Linked DNA regions of Neurospora crassa OR74A. The protein of the gene in region 1 interacts with the protein of each later gene in a biochemical or structural test. Links are inferred from orthologs where the notes say so. Each region holds a gene or a part of one and is shown on either strand. Other genes may lie near its edges.

The links.
Region 2: the proteins of NCU10066 (region 1) and NCU01342 form a complex in vitro, tested with the Saccharomyces cerevisiae proteins (2 studies listed by BioGRID, with this or other methods). The link is inferred for Neurospora crassa OR74A from reciprocal best matches to the Saccharomyces cerevisiae genes COP1 and ERV25.

The regions. Positions count from the first base shown.
Region 1 is NC_026507.1:2,811,868-2,814,883, reverse strand, and holds the end of NCU10066 (coatomer alpha subunit), read left to right. Parts: coding exon 1-1,689; intron 1,690-1,761; coding exon 1,762-2,004; 3' UTR 2,005-2,417; downstream 2,418-3,016. Other genes in the region: rpn-12 (26S proteasome non-ATPase regulatory subunit 8), read right to left, coding at 2,485-2,766, 2,911-3,016. UniProt on the Saccharomyces cerevisiae protein: The coatomer is a cytosolic protein complex that binds to dilysine motifs and reversibly associates with Golgi non-clathrin-coated vesicles, which further mediate biosynthetic protein transport from the ER, via the Golgi up to the trans Golgi network.
Region 2 is NC_026505.1:3,710,353-3,714,057, forward strand, and holds NCU01342 (endoplasmic reticulum vesicle protein 25), read left to right. Parts: upstream 1-1,378; 5' UTR 1,379-1,515; coding exon 1,516-1,719; intron 1,720-1,817; coding exon 1,818-1,941; intron 1,942-2,027; coding exon 2,028-2,331; intron 2,332-2,389; coding exon 2,390-2,408; 3' UTR 2,409-2,980; downstream 2,981-3,705. Other genes in the region: NCU01341 (U1 small nuclear ribonucleoprotein C), read right to left, coding at 180-712, 784-891, 948-957; NCU01343 (TPR repeat protein), read left to right, coding at 3,160-3,403, 3,491-3,705.

The DNA.
Region 1 (3,016 bases):
TACCTCACCCGTGTCAAGGGTAGAAACGTGTACTGCCTTGATCGTGCTGCGAAGCCCAAGATTTTGCAGATTGACCCCACCGAGTACCGCTTCAAGCTTGCGCTTGTCAAGCGTAACTACGAGGAAATGCTACACATCATCCAGAACTCGAGCTTGGTTGGCCAGTCAATCATTGCTTACCTTCAGAAGAAGGGCTACCCTGAGATTGCGCTCCAGTTCGTCCAGGATCCTACTACCAGGTTCGAGCTTGCCATTGAGTGCGGTAATCTCGAGGTCGCTGTTGAGATGGCCAAGCAACTAGACAAGCCCAAGCTCTGGACGAGACTTAGCCAGGAGGCCCTCGCCCATGGTAACCACCAGATCGTGGAGATGTGTTACCAGAAGCTCAAACACTTTGACAAGCTTTCGTTCCTCTACCTCACCACCGGCGATCATGACAAGCTCTCGAGGATGGCCAAGATTGCTGAGCACCGTGGTGACTTCACTTCGAGATTCCAGAACGCCCTTTATCTGGGAGAGGTCCAGGACCGAATCCAGATGTTCAAGGAAATCGATTTGTACCCCCTGGCCTACATGACTGCCAAGTCTCACGGGCTTGAAGACGAGTGCCAGGAAATCCTCGAGGCTACTGGTCTCACAGAAGACCAGCTTTCGATGCCCACCCTGGGTGAACCCCTTACACCGCCCAAGCCCGTGGTTCCCACATACAAGGCTAACTGGCCAACAAAGGCGGCCTCGCAGTCCTTCTTCGAAAAGGCCCTGCTTGGCGAGGTTGAGGGCTTGTCTCTGGAAGACCAGCCCTCTGCCGCTCCCAACGGTTTAGGTCTTGAAGAGGGCGGTGCCGATGAGCCTGCGACCAAGAAGGCCGGTGCTCTTGCTGAAGGCGATGAGGACGAGGATGCTGCGGGCTGGGACATGGGCGATGACATTGTTCCGGAAGTCGAGGAGGGCTTCGTCAACGTGGAAAGCGCGGATGCCGGCGGTGCTGCAAGCAGTGAAGCGGATCTGTGGTCCCGGAACTCACCGCTCGCAGTTGATCACGTCGCTGGTGGTTCCTTTGAGTCGGCAATGCAGCTGCTCAACCGCCAGGTTGGCGCTGTCAACTTTGCTCCGCTCAAGCCTCGCTTCTTGGAGGTTTACCAGGCATCCAAGACTTATCTCCCCGCCGCGGCTAGCCTGGACCCTCTCGTCAACTACGTCCGCAGGAATCCCGAGGAGACGGATCCCAGGAAGGTTCTCCCTATCATCCCCAGGGACCTCGAGTACCTTGCTTCTAATGACCTGCAGCGCGGTTATGACGCGATGAGGGCGAACAAGCTCGAGGATGGTGTCAAGATCTTTAAGGGCATTCTGCACTCCGTCCTTGTCAACGCTGTAGGCAGTGATGGGGAGGTGGCTGAGGCCAAGAAGCTCATCGCTTCAGCCTGCGAGTACTCGGTTGCCATGTCCATTGAGCTGGCCCGCAGGCAACTCGGTTCTCCGGACCAGGTCAACAGCGATCCCTCGCTCCAGAAGCGGAGCTTGGAACTGTCGGCCTACTTCACCATTCCCAAGATCGAGGTTCCCCATCGCCAGCTTGCCTTGCTTAACGCAATGAACCTGGCTGTGCGGAGCAAGAACTACAGCTCTGCCCTTAGCTTCGCTAACAGGATATTGGCCAACGGAGGAGCCACCAAGATCACCGAGAGTGTAAGTGATAACCTACATAACCTTATCCTTTTGCTCCTTTGGTAGAGACACTGACATATTTGAAAATAACAGGCCAAGAGAACCAAGGCGCAATGCGAGCGCAACCCCCATGACGCCGTGGAGATCGAGTTCGATCAGTTTGCCGAGTTTGAGATCTGCGCTGCCAGCTTCACGCCCATCTACAGCGGTACCCCTTACGAGGAGTGCGCATTTGACGGAGCCAAGTACCACACCAAGTACAAGGGCACGGTGTGCACAGTCTGCGAGGTTTGCGAGGTCGGAAAGCACGGTAGTGGCCTGAAGCTGTTTGCTTAAAAGGGGTGGGTTTGTATGCGGTTGGCGCTACACGATGATGGGGGTTTTGATGACAAGTAAAGTAGTAGTTAAAGTACAGTCAAAGTAGGTATAATGATCGCGTTTCTTGCTTTCTTCTGCAGGAAGAACAGGGGAGAAGAGAAAAGGAAAGACAAAACCATTTTGGACGCGCCTGTTGCATAACAATTACTGCCTGCTACCAAGTAAGTTCGTGTGCTATAATCCGAACAGAAAGTCGTGGTCGCATGAATTGTCAGTTAGATAATACCATGCCAGACGCAAGCCGTAATATTATGTATCATGTTTTTGTATACATATAGGCGACACATGGAACACAATGTTAAGTAGTGTATCTGTACGTGGCCTCTGTTCTGCCTATGTAGCTAGATCTCTAAGGACCATCGTTTAAGAACGCTTGCATAAACCAACCCAACCCAACCCATACCACACCGGCCAGCCACTTTGTTGTTTTTCTACTGTTTAGACGATCGTCTCCAACTCCCTAGCATAGCCCAGCGTATTCTCAATGATCAACCGGCTGAAGGGCTTCTCCTGCTCGGCACCGGCCTCCTCCGTCGTCGGCTCAGCAGACGGGAAGTAGATGTGGCCGTCCTTGAGTACCCAGCCGCGGGAGCGGGCGAACTCGACCACTTCGCCCTCGGACTCGAGGAAGAGGAGCGACTTGGTGGAGGAGATGGGAAGCGAGGGGTAGGCGCGCTCGGAGGAGGAGGCGATTTCGGAGCGGATTTGGAAAGTGAGGATCTGTTGACAGTAAGATGCGGTGGTTAGTGATTGATGTGGTACAGATAGTTAATCGTGATATCGTTGCTTGGGGGAGAGCGAGAGAGAAGGACCTAGGGGGAAAAGGTAGAGAAAGCAAGACGCAATAAAAGAAAACCCACGAACCTCGGAAAAAACTCCATACTCCTCACAAGGAACCTCGCCCTTCTTCATTGCCTTCCACACACGATCATAGCTCCCCTCCATCAGCCACCTCTCCAGCTTGATGGGA
Region 2 (3,705 bases), on another chromosome or scaffold:
CAGCGCCGCCGTAGAATCTTGGTATCGTGTTCCGAGAAAATGAAACCCAATTGTAAACACCAATTGAATGAAATCCGAAACTGAAAGCTGTGAATATTATGCTCGTTTTGGCGGCCTGACCCAGGTTGCTATGTTGTCGTGCCCTTTCTCAAGCTACTCTCATCGTACACCAAACTACTTCACCTCTTGTCGGCACCCGGAGGCCCTTGACCAGGGGCGCCAAAAGGTGGCATACCGGGGAACGCACCTGGCGCACCGGGAGGGGGGAAGGGAAAGTTTCCTGCTCCAGGTGGGGGGAAGGGTAGACCTCCTGGGGGCGGGAATGGCAGACCACCAGGACCGGGCATCGGAGGCGGTACGCCAGGTATACCAGCAGGAGCGCCAGGCATACCAGGAAATGGGGGCATTGGAGGCATTCCGCGAGCTCCTGGCGCTCCAGGAGGAGGAATACCGCCGGGCACGCCTGGGGCACCAAAGGCTCCGGGAGGGGGCACCGGCGCGCCACCGGGCATGCCTGGGAACGGAGGAGGCATGCCGCCAGGGAAAGGCGGGAAGGGGGGAACGCCGGCGCCCGGGGGCGGGAAGCCGAGGCCGGGAGGGACTCCGCCGGGTTGGTTCTGCGGGAGCATAGGATTGGCGTGGGCTTGGCCTTCGGCGGCGTACGAGGAGGTAATCGAATCGATAACGGATTGGGCCTTCTCGTGACCAATCTCTGTAAAACAAAATCGCATTAGTTATGCGGTGAAGTCGGAAATGGTGGATTGGGGGCTTATTGTGCCGTACGTTGGTAGTAGTCAACAACGTTTCGTAAATGGTTACGACCGCTGTTGTGCGCCTTGCGGACGCTCATGGAATCGTGCGTGAGGTACACATCGCAGTAGTCGCAAAAGACTGTACAAGATGTCGTCAGCATCGAGTTGAAGATGAGCGGTCCAAGCAGTACTCACATTTTGGCATTTTGGTAGATTGTGATCGCGAAACCTTTCAAGACGGGGTTATTCGAAATCTCTGTGGCTGCCCTCGGAGAAAGTCGCAAGTTGGATGGCAACAATGATACGGCGCGCGACAACGACGAAGACAAAAGAAGGTTTGCAAGGCTGAAGTGCACTGGACACACACAATGGGACGCGATGACCAAAGCGGGACCAGGTTGGTCCTCGAGGTGCTTGGCAATAGTGGATCCTCTAAGGCTTCCCCAAAAAAGAGCTCCCCTGATCGGTTCGCGGCTGCTGATTGGCACAACAAGGGCACTCCTGCTGTCAAGCCGTTGTGGACATGCTCCAGACCTGTCTCAGCTGTCCTTAAGTTGCCTGCCCAAAGAGAAGCCGCCAGATTTCCCCTAGATCCAAGTCGCGGAGCTATTCCCATTAATACAGACAGCCCACCTTCCGCGATACGATCAGGTCACGCACTGCATAGCTTCGCCGGACTGTGTTGACAACTCGACGACACTTTCAAACTTTTTTTGTCCCGGCCGCCGTCCCACGTTCTAGATCATCCTATCAATCAGCGATCATGGCATCCCTAAAGTCGCTGCTGAGCGGCTTCCTGCTGCTCGCCGGTGCCGCCCAAGCTCTCAAGTTCGACCTTGAGGCTACCTCTTCACACCACAGCAACCAGCGACGATGCATACGGAACTTTGTCAACAAGGACACATTGGTGGTTGTAACGGCTACGCTTGACGGATACAAGGGCGATGGCATGAACGTCAACATGCACGTAGGTGCTCTCCCTCCTGGGTGCAAGTTAAAGGGGCTAGGGGATGGATTATGGGGCGGTCAATTACATGGACGAGTCTGACTTTGGACGCGACACAGATCTCCGATAGCCACGGAAACGAGTACGGCAAGGCCAAGGATATTGCTGGCGAGCAGCGCATCGTCTTCACCTCGCATCACGACGCAGCCTTCGACGTGTGCTTCGAGAACTACCTTACTGGTTGTACGTACATTCCTTGGCCATGACGAAAATTAGCAAAACAACCAGCAAAAGCTCGGATGGGAAACTGACAAGATTGCGATGATCAGCCAAGTATGTCGAGAACCCCCGCCGCCACGTCGAGCTCGATATCGACATTGGTGCCGATGCCAAGGACTGGTCCGCCATCCAGGCCACCGAGAAGCTTAAGCCACTTGAAACCGATCTGCGCCGCATCGAGGAGCTGGTCGGCGAGGTTGTTAACGAAATGGATTACTTGCGCGCTCGTGAGCAGAAGCTCCGTGATACCAATGAGAGCACCAACAACCGTGTTAAGTGGTTTGGCATGGCCACCACTTTCCTCCTCATTGCTCTCTGGGGGTGGCAGATTATGTACCTCAGGGCGTACTTCAGGTTCGTTTTCCCATCTAGCGGAGCAAATGGGTTCAGTTACTAACATAAATCTGCTTAGATCTAAGCATCTTATTTAATGGGCTGGGCGCAACCTACGATGACGACCCACAACTACCACTGTCCAAACTACCTTATTTATTATACGGCTTCATGGTAACGACGGGCGGGAGGTTTTATGAACTCTTTACTACACGCAACGCAGGCGAGCGAATGGCATACAATAGGTTGGAGATTTCTGGTGTAACTATATACGGTAATGTGTTTCAACCAAAAAGTTATGGAGTAAAAAGGAGAATTGACTGCATGCTGAGTGAGCCGTCTACTTTTGGAAGTTCAAGACTATTTGAGAGCGAAAATCTGCCCGGTGCATACCAAGAGAAGTCGCATCCAAAAGGCGTTATGGGCGTCGTGGGCGTTGTTGTGGTGATGAGTCGAAACATGAGCAATTGGCGATAGAGGCACTGGAGACGGTGGCGATGTCATGGATTGACAACGGAGATGCGGAGGGATGAACCGGAACCGGCAACAATTTTTCGGCCTCGGCCCCCATTGTATGATCACTTGCCAAGCCCGCCGAACTAGTGTAAGGGACGGGGTATTGTAGCGTCTGTAATCGGCCCCGAACGGAATCCTACAACAATTCCCATCACTTCGACATCCTCATTTATAAGCCGGAGCAGTTACCTAGTTCGCGCAACGGCACCCTCTCCACACTATCCGCTTCATCCGAGCGATTTACACACCTAACCTTGGCCGTCGCTCTATTTCGGCTACAACAATCCGTCTTCAGTCAGTTCGCCAAAAGCACCTAGACAAATCGTCGCAACAATGGCTTCCTCTCTTCGCGCCCTCCGGCCCGCGGCCGCCACCTTTGCGCGCGCTGCCGCTGTGCGCCCCGCCTCCGTCGCCAGCAGACACGTCATTGCCTTTTCGCGATCGGCCAGCAACGACAGCACAGATAACCAGCAAAAGAAGGACCTCGACGTCGGCGAACTGCAAGGCGCCACCTTCAAGATCGAGCCGCTCCGGAGAGTCGGCGAGGACCCCGCCACCATGCGGGCGCGTCTCCTTTGTACGTTTTATCTCTCCCTTCGCTAATCCTTATCTTCATCACCTACATGTAAACCCAACGAACTAACTCCCCTTCCTCTCCTTCTAGACCAATCTCGCAAACGCGGCACCCTCGAATCCGACCTGATCCTCTCCACTTTCGCCGCCGCCCACCTCGGCTCCATGACGCCCGAACAACTGAAGCAATACGACTTGTTTCTTGACGAAAACGACTGGGACATTTACTACTGGGCCACGCAAGAACCCCCCTTGCCCGGCCAGGAGAACCAACATCTCCAACAAAACTCCGAGGAGGCTTCTTTG